Linked DNA regions of Oryctolagus cuniculus. The protein of the gene in region 1 purifies or fractionates together with the protein of each later gene. This does not show direct contact. Links are inferred from orthologs where the notes say so. Each region holds a gene or a part of one and is shown in the gene's direction. Other genes may lie near its edges.

Region 1 (5,011 bases):
GCAGGGTGCTGTGCCCGCACCGAGCGCGGGGCGCCGATGGCACGGTCGTTGGAGAGGGCCGTGGAGGTGGGGCGGGTCCGCTACCTCCTCACAGTCCCACCCCACAAGACATTCACTCCAGCCTGGGACAGAACCACCGCCCACCCCACCCCTACACCCAGATTCTCCCCAGTGGCACCCGCACCCCTGCTGGCCTCGCCTTACTGTGGCCCCTCCTATCACAGTCCACACTTGGTCTGGGGGCGCAGACCTGTAGAATGGAGACTTCAGGGACCTTGCTTTCTCCCTAATCTTGGCGCCTCCTGCTGATACCGAGCGATAAGCCAGCAGCTACAACAGCAGGACCAGAATCAGTCCAGAGCCCAAATCTCTGTGCCTGAACAGAGAGCTCCCGGGACGGTGACCGGGCACCCTCGGGGATCTCCCTGCGCTGGCTTCCAAGTGCTGCTTCTTGGGTGGAGGTCCTCGGTGCCTCCACCTGGGGAATTTCATGCTGGGGGGGGGGGTAGGGAGAAGTGATCTGCCTCCCTCCTTGGGTGGGGCAGGAGGAGGGTGGGTTGGGGAGATTGCTCCCCACTTCCTGGACAAACGCCTCCTCCTTCTGTTCTTCCACCATCCTGAACCACAGGGTGATGGACAGCGTGCCAACAAGGCTTCTAGAAGTTCCTAGAAGCCCTTCCCCTAGCTTCAGCATCCTGTTCCTGTCTCTTCCCGTGGTCCTGGGGGTGCGCGGGGTGGGGGTGGGGGAGTGGCGGTACCTGCAGGGACACAGTGCAGCCATCCAAACTAGGACAGCAGTAGGGGTTGGACAAGCCAAGCCTGGCCAGCGGCTCTGGTGTCCCTGGCCAGAGCTGCCCTAACCCTGCCAGATGCCTGCAGGACAGGTAGCTCCTCTGTCCACTCCCTCCCGTGCCCACGCCTCCCCCGGTTGTCACAAGGCTCTACTCTTGTCCTTGGAAACTTGAGTTGGCTTATCTGTGGATGTGACTGTGGCCCGGTCAGCTCCCCTGCAGGCTGGGACAGCACCCCTCCCCCCTTCCAGGCTCCTTTATGTTGGAATCGGTGCCCAGATGCGATGCTGGCGCTACAGGCCGGGGCTTTAACCTGCTGAACCACAGCGCTGGTCCCAGCAGGGAAATTTTTGACCCCTAAATCAGTCTTCCTTCTGTGCAGCTCCAATGACCCCCACCTCTTTCCTTGACCATTGCAACTGTGTCCAGTCGTGCCCACCTGCACCCCTGGCTCCCCTTTTCCTGCAGAATAAAGACAGAACTCCTCACGGGGACCCAAGAGGCCCTGCGGCAGCCTGGCCCTGTGTCTGTTTTCCCCTCGCGGTCCACTGCACTCTGCATATCCAGAGGTGTCCTTGGGGACCTGCTGGGCCACTGTGTCTGTGCACAAGCTCTTCCAGCCCTTGGTCGCTCACGCCTGTACATTCATTCTTTGGATCTACAGCCAGCTGCTGTTTCCCTCGGGGACGTTCCCCGCCAGGGCACTGCTCCCCAAGTTCAAACTCTTCCTGAGCCACTTTTTTTTTTTTTTTTAAACCCTGTGTTAGGTAGCAATCCAGAAAGAATTGTCCTGGAGTGCTTTTCTTGCATAAAGTCTGCAATGCGCACCTAACCAAGTTTTCTGAAGCCTATGTTTTTGTTCATGACGATGAAGCGTACATTTGTTTGTGGTCTGTGATCAATTCCGATTCCTCCGTGCTGAAATTTCACAGCGCCCCCGCGTGCTCACAGCCCAGACGCGCGCGAACGCCACGGGACATGTCCAACACTACAACTCCCAGAAGGCGCTGCGCTCCTCCTGACGTCAGTACTGTGCGCGGGCCCTCGTTACAAACGCACAGCTTCGCCATTGGCCAGCTGCTCAAGGCGCCTGCGCACACGGTGCAGTCCCGCCCCTAAGACACGCCTGTGCAGCCTCTGAGCGGTGCTGGGATAGAGATGGAGACGCCGGGCTCAGGGACCCGGGCCTTGTTGCTCCCGGCTGCCTCCGGACAGCCGAAGAAGCGCGCGGCGGGGGATTCTGGGGCCGCGCCCAGCAAGCAGCGAGTGCTGGACGAGGAAGAGTATATCGAGGTGCGACCGCAGGGCGGACGCCGCCGACTTCCGGCTCCCGCTGCCACTTTGCGCTCCTCTCGGGTCCCTTGTCTCCTGTGTTGGCATTTCGGTCCCTTCGTGGAAGTGAAACAGCCGGGGCCCCGTCCTTGGGGGCTGGGGTGGGGGGCTCTGGCCAGCCCCGAGAGCCAATTAAACGGTGTAGCGGGAGGGGGGCTTGATGGAAGAGGCGTTTGGAGAGGGGGCGCCTGCGTGCGTTTGTGGTTGGGAGTTCAGGACATTAAAGTGTTGTGTGGACGCGCGAGGGGGGGCGTGACAGACGATGAGGGGTTTCTAGAGAGCGGCGACAGGGTCCTGCGGTTGCGGTGGCATCACTGAGCCAGTGGTCTCTGGCGCCCGTGCAGTAGGTGTGGTCCCCCCGTGCGCGCGCAGTGGAAGGAGCTACGCGGTGATGGGAGGAAGCCGGCTTGGTTTTGGCTGGCGGGTGGCACCGGGGGACCGCCGGCTGGCAGGTGTGCAGCTCAGGCGCAAGGTCTCTCTGGCTGGGGCTGCAGCAGCCTCGGCACTCTCCGGCGGAAGGGAATTTGGCCTGAAAGTAGAGGGTTGGGCCGGCGCCGCGGCTCACTAGGCTAATCCTCTGCCTGCGGCGCCGGCACCCCGAGTTCTAGTCCTGGTCGGGGCACAGGATTCTGTCGCGGTTGCCCCTCTTCCAGGCCAGCTCTCTGCTGTGGCCAGGGAGTGCAGTGGAGGATGGCCCAGGTGCTTGGGCCCTGCACCCCATGGGAGACCAGGAGAAGCACCTGGCTCCTGGCTTCAGATCAGCTCCAGGCACCAGCCGCAGCGCGCCGGCTGCAGTGGCCACTGGAGGGTGAACCAATGGTAAAGGAAGACGTTTCTCTCTCTCTCCACTCTGCCTGTCAAAGAAAAAAAGAAAGTAGAGGGTTGCCCCCGGGATGTGTGGATACAGCGGGCGAAGGGAGAATGAGAAGGACCAGTCAGTGGCGGGAAAGACGACGGAGCAGTAATGTTGGGTGTTGCGGCAGAGTCACAGGGCCCCAGGCTCCTCTGACGAAGCCCCGCCGTTCAGCAGGCACGTGAAAGGGGGTTGACCGAGAACCCTGGTGGGCAGCTCCGTTCTGTTGTTGACAGGGCCTGCAGGCGGTCATCCAGAGAGATTTCTTTCCCGACGTGGAGAAGCTGCAGGCCCAGAAGGAGTACCTGGAGGCCGAGGAGAATGGCGATTTGGAACGGATGCGCCAGATCGCCATCAAGTTTGGCTCTGCCCTGGGCAAGATGTCCCGAGAACCCCCGCCACCTTGTAAGAGGACCTTGTGGGGGTCGGGGGCAGGGAGAGGAGAACCCGCTGAGCAGTTGCCTCACTCACTCTAATCCCTACCTCCCTTCTCCCCCCTCCCAGATGTGACCCCAGCCACGTTTGAAACCCCCGAGGTGCACACAGGCACTGCCGCGGTGGGCAGCAAGCTCAGGCCCCGGGGCCGAGGCCTGGAGGATGGTAAGGGTGCTCAGCTTCCAGTCACGTAGCCAGGATCGCCTGGGAGACCCCTCCCCCGTGTGCCCCTGGGTGGGGGTGGTCCAAGGGGCTGTACATCACATCTTGTCCCAGGGCCCACGGGTGAGGCAGCCCTTGGCCCCTGGGCCACTAAAGGTCAGTGTCGGGTTGGCCAGCTCCCACCCTGCGGGCTCCCCCTCCTCCTTACCTCCTGAAGGCATCTCAGGGCCTCTGTGCTTGTTGCTTGCTTGCTTGTTGTGTGTGTGTGTGTTTAGGACATGTCATGGAGAAAGGCATCTGTCTAGGTCATCGCCGCCCTCCTCAGCCACCTTCCCCTCCGTCTTGGGTGGGGGCTGTGTGCTTTCGCTGCGTGTGAATGAGGTCTCTCCCACCATACTTCCCCGGGGCGTGGGTCACACATCCCAGCTGTGAGAAGGGAGTGTTCCAGGGAAGAGCCGAGTTTAAGTGGCCCCCACACCACAGTCAGGTCTCCGGCGTCCATGCACGTGTAGGTGGACAAGGTGCCGTTGGCTGTCAGGCTCTAGTCCGCAGCCTGCTGCAGTAGCACAGGTGCCACGGTGTGTGTTCACCCCCGGGCAGTTGGCCCCACACCCGCAAGGCCTCATCCAGAACGCTGGCTCATAGGGGTCCCTGCCCTCGGGGCCTAGAACAACAAAAGAGAAGGAAGAGTAGTTAGGGTAAGGACATCCTAAGGAGGGAAGGAGACGGCTAGGCGCTTTGGAGGTTAGGTCTTCTAGGACTGGCAAAAGATGATGCCCAACCTGGCCCCCTAGTCTGAATCAGGTCCCAGGGTTCTGTTAGTACCCAGCAGGTGAGTGCAGCTGACCAGGCATCTGTAGCGTGCCCTCAGATGCTCCTGGGCAGTCGGTGGGCGGACACCGAGCTCAAGGGGGCCTCCTCGGGCAGTGTGGGCCCTCACGGGCAGCGCCCAGGCCCAGGGTTGTGCGGATGCCAGCCCTGCTCCCAGCATTGTTCCCGGGACCGGGCGCTGCTCTCCCTGCTGAGTGAAGAGTGGTGTCTGTGCTGGTTGTGTACCGCGTGCCCTGTCTGTAACCCCAAGCAGGAGAGGCTGGAGAGGAAGAGGAAGAGAAGGAGCCGCTGCCCAGCCTGGATGTCTTCCTGAGCCGCTACACCAGCGAGGACAACGCCTCCTTCCAGGAGATCATGGAGGTGGCTAAGGAGAAGAACCGAGCCCGCCACGCCTGGCTGTACCAGGCCGAGGAGGAGTTTGAGAAGGTGACGCTGGGGCGCAGGGGTGCAGGGGCCCCTGTCTGGGGAGAGGGCGTCCCAGGGCCAGGACCCCTGTGAGCCTCAACTTTCCCCCATGTGCTTGCAGAGACAGAAAGATAACCTTGCACTCCCATCAGCAGAGCGCCAGGCCATCGAGAGCAGCCAGTCCGGCGTGGAGACCTGGAAG
Region 2 (4,533 bases), on another chromosome or scaffold:
GTTGGTTCACATAGAAAACCTCATTGGTGTACACCTTGACCGATCAACTGACCTTTCCTTCCCCTTTTAGAAATTTATAAAAGTCCAACCCAGGCAGTCCTGACAAGCAGACCCTTGCAGGGCAGTCTCTCCCAGATGTTGGACACTTTCTCTGCTTCTTTAAATAAACTTCCTTCACTTTGCTTGCTCTTAAATAAACTTCCTTTGCTCGCTCTTCCTTGTCCACGTGCTCATTCTTCATGGTCACGAGACAAAGAACTTGGCAGAGAAGAGAGGCAACACTCAGTGAATCCAGCAGAGAGGAGATGCTGTGACCCCACATGAGAGGAAAGGCTATAACAGTTGTAACACAGAAAACTGCAACTCTGTAATGGCTGGAGCTGAGCCTATCTGAAGCCAGGAGCTTCTGCCTGGTCTCCCACGTGGGTGCAGGGGCCCAAAGACTTGGGCCATCTTCCACTGCTATCCCAGGCAATAGCAGAGAGCTGGATCGGAAAAGGAGCAGCTGTGACTCAAAACTGGCACCCATTTTAGGATTTAATATTAGAGAAGTAGCATCTTCAGAAACTTTATTACTGAAATAGCTGACTTTTATAATGATGAAAAGTATATTCTGCTTCTTACCCTTAATTTTAGAAAACATAATTTATTTATTTTTCCCACTATAATTATTAGAATGAGCAGTGGTGTGAGGCTATCGTCCAACAATAGAATAGGAAGCTCTCTTTCTCCCTACTTGGAAATATGTTTGATCAGAAGAGTGGTATGTGTTTGCAAAATATTCCAGACGTTATAAATTGTATTCAGTAGAAAACGAAAGTCTTACTTTACAATCTTCATTCTTTTTTTTTTTTTTTTTTTTTTTTTTTGGACAGGCAGAGTGAACAGTGAGAGAGAGACAGAGAGAAAGGTCTTCCTTTTGCCGTTGGTTCACCCTCCAACCGCCGTGGCCGGCGCACCGCACTGATCTGAAGCCAGGAGCCAGGAGCCAGGTACTTATCCTGGTCTCCCATGGGGTGCAGGGCCCAAGGACTTGGGCCATCCTCCACTGCACTCCCTGGCCACAGCAGAGAGCTGGCCTGGAAGAGGGGCAACCGGGACAGAATCCGGCGCCCTGACTGGGACTAGAACCCGGTGTGTGGGCGCCGCAAGGCGGAGGATTAGCCTAGTGAGCCGCTGCGCCGGCTTACAATCTTCATTCTTAATAATTCAATATAGCGGCGCCGGCTTACAATCTTCATTCTTAACAATTCAATATAGCTGGCACCGCGGCTCACTAGGCTAATCCTCCACCTTGCGGTGCCGGCACACCGAGTTCTAGCCCCGGTCGGGGCGCCGGATTCTATGCCGGTTGCCCCTCTTCCAGGCCAGCTCTCTGCTGTGGCCAGGGAGTGCAGTGGAGGATGGCCCAAGTGCTTGGGCCCTGCACCCCATGGGAGACCAGGATAAGTACCTGGCTCCTGCCATCGGATCAGCGCGGTGCGCCGGCAGCAGCGTGCGGCGGCCATTGGAGGGTGAACCAATGGCAAAGGAAGACCTTTCTCTGTCTCTCTCTCTCTCACTGTCCACTCTGCCTGTCAAAAAAAAAAAAAAAATTTCAATATATGCCCTTGTAGATTTTTTGAATGTATAAGCACGTATAGTACATATTTGCATAATAATAAAAAGCTAAATAAACTCATGCTTTTTTTTTTTTCACTTGGTAATATATCATGACACAGAACAAATCCTAAGTGAGTACCATCCTTAATTGTTTGCATTTCAGTATCAAAGGCATACGAAGTTCGTAAATGACTATATTTTATACTATGGTGGCAAAAAAGAAGACTTCAGACGTTTGGGGTAAGTATCATGAAGCTGACCTAAAATGAGAGGACTGTGTGGGTGACTTTAAAGACACACAGCTACTGTATCTTTTGACTGCATTTTCACTCTCTCCCTACTTTCTATCCAGTTTTCTTGTTGTATCACAAGGTGGAGAGGTCATCCACAGCTTCTAGCTAAATAGCTTTTCATGAATCCCATTTCTTTGGCGGCAGGCCTCAGGTTACCTACTTACCTCTTGAGCTAGCTACAACCCTGGCAATACAGGGTATATGAGGAATATTTGTGTGTCTTATTGGAAAGGATCTTTGAAGTAATGAAATTTGTAGACTTGAATGTTTGAGAATGTTTCAGATAGAACAAACAAGCAACCTCACCTTTCTCACACACGAGTCTTTCCTGTATCTTTGGCTTTTCTATTCAAATGTCTTGATTTTGCATAGATTTTTTTTTTCCTTCCTCTGACTTTTTTCTACTCTGATAGTGCCCTAAGAAACTTTAGTACTATCTCATCTACCCCAAGTTTATCTCCTCTATCATTATCCTATGTCCTCTAACAATCATTTACTCTACTTCTAGACTGTCAGCATTGATCTTGAGAGATCATCTCTTTCAATTTTATTCCCCTTACTCAGTCTTCCTAGGAAACTAGTAGAATGAAGTATGGAAAACTTTTTATACTTTTAAAAATTAGATCTTAATAAAATAATATTACTGACTTTTGGTTAGATCCTGAAACTTATTTTCATTTGCTTTACTTATTTAGTGTTTATTTAGGTTTCTCATCCCAGCTTTGGTAACTTAGCACTGTTTGTGAAATTGAGCCCAGTACTGGAGATGGAAGGATTCTGTATCCATTTAACCTGCTTCTATAGCAGCATTCTTTAAGAGTGCCTTTTGAAAATACTGATGTAGTTTTTATAAATATGTGTATATACTCACTTAAAACTATTTTTATGTATCATGTTTTATTCAAGTTTTCAAAAAAATCAGCAGAACTGTTTAACCTCCTAAATGTGACTAATTTTATTTTTATATTAGATTGCAATACTCTTATTTTCCAGGGAAAATGACAAGACCGATTTGGATGTTATACGAGAAAATCATAAATTCCTATGGAATGAAGAGGATGAAGTAGACATGACGTGGTAATTTTTGACATCAAGCATAATGCATCAAATGCTTTAGTCCTGTCTCTGCTGTTTTCAGACTTTGTCACTATCTGACTTTTTACTGATTTCTCATTCCTTGACTTAGTTATTAAAAAATGACCTTTCTGGCCGGTGCCGTGGCTCACTAAGCTAATCCTCCGCCTTGCGGCACCGGCACACCAGGTTCTAGTCCCTGTCGGGGCGCCGGATTCTGTCCCAGTTGCCCCTCTTCCAGGCCAGCTCTCTGCTGTGGCCAGGGAGTGCAGTGGAGGATGGCCCAAGTCCTTGGGCCCTGCACCCCATGGGAGACCAGGATAAGTACCTGGCTCCTGCCATCGGATCAGCGCGGTGCGCCGGCAGCAGCGTGCGGCGGCCATTGGAGGGTGAACCAATGGCAAAGGAAGACCTTTCTCTCTGTCTCTCTCTCTCTCACTGTCCACTCTGCCTGTCAAAAAAATTAAAAAATTTAAAAAAAAATGACCTTTTTTAATAATGTTGTGCCTTGTTTTGTAACATGCTTTCTTTTAAAACTTCTAAAATATTTTAGGAAAAGTAATACCTGAAAATTGTATAAGAAATCCAAAAGGTAAAAAGTAAAGATTAATTGTTTTTCTCATTTCTAACTATCCTTAAGTTTCTCTCCCTGAGAACCACCATTAATAGTTAATATCCAGCTATTCTATGCATATGTAAGTAATAGGCCTCTTTTAAAACATTAATATTTATATCATATGCGTTATTTATGTGACATTGCTTCCAAGCAGTGGACTATAGTTGAATTTCTAAGTGTATAATATTTATATTTTTGTGGATCTAGGGAGAAGAGACTTGCAAAGAAATACTATGATAAATTATTCAAGGAATACTGCATAGCAGATCTCAGTAGATACAAAGAAAATAAGGTATGCCTTCCAGATATTGTAGAATGAGGTTCTTATTCAATATAATTTTTGTTATACTCTCATGCCTAATTTTAGTCTAAATTGTCCTATAAGATGCCATTTGGACCATTTAACCTCTGCAGCTATGGAATTTACAGTTACCCTATGGAATTTATAGAGATAAGGGTGTTTCTTTTAGAGCTGAGCCATGAAAAGGCTAAAATTAAACACAAGTGCCTTGGTCTTGTTTCATCATTTGACTCTAGTCTAGAGCCTCTGGTGATTATAATGAATGATGGAACTTTGCAGAGCAATGTCTTCTTTCACAGATGATGTTTGAAATTGGTAGATTTTTAAAAATTACTATTTCTAGGGAAGCAGATGCATAGCCTGTGATACATAAATGTAATGTCTATTCTAGAAAAATTGAATTTTAAATTGTTGCTAACTAGTATTGACAGATTTCCCTTCCCACTTCACATATCATTTTAGTTAATATTGAAGTTATTTTTATTCCTAGCTTAAGCTTGTAATATGTAGCTGGAAGGTAACCAAGGAACAGACTAAGTTGTGAATTGAAGGGAGGGCAGATTACATAAATATGTATGTTAAAGATTGTATATATTTGTGTCATATTAAAAAAGACAACCTCTATTTTAAAAGCTGTCTTAAGTTGC

The links.
Region 2: the proteins of ESS2 (region 1) and protein FRA10AC1 purify together in Homo sapiens (co-immunoprecipitation; 3 studies listed by BioGRID and IntAct, counting the BioPlex papers as one, with this or other methods). This does not show direct contact. The link is inferred for Oryctolagus cuniculus from reciprocal best matches to the Homo sapiens genes ESS2 and FRA10AC1.

The regions. Positions count from the first base shown.
Region 1 is NC_091452.1:26,941,953-26,946,963, reverse strand, and holds the start of ESS2 (splicing factor ESS-2 homolog), read left to right. Parts: upstream 1-1,898; 5' UTR 1,899-1,949; coding exon 1,950-2,084; intron 2,085-3,212; coding exon 3,213-3,381; intron 3,382-3,480; coding exon 3,481-3,576; intron 3,577-4,654; coding exon 4,655-4,830; intron 4,831-4,930; coding exon 4,931-5,011. UniProt on the Homo sapiens protein: May be involved in pre-mRNA splicing.
Region 2 is NC_091446.1:37,010,248-37,014,780, forward strand, and holds part of protein FRA10AC1, read left to right. Parts: intron 1-1,765; coding exon 1,766-1,842; intron 1,843-2,888; coding exon 2,889-2,972; intron 2,973-3,792; coding exon 3,793-3,877; intron 3,878-4,533. UniProt on the Homo sapiens protein: May be involved in pre-mRNA splicing.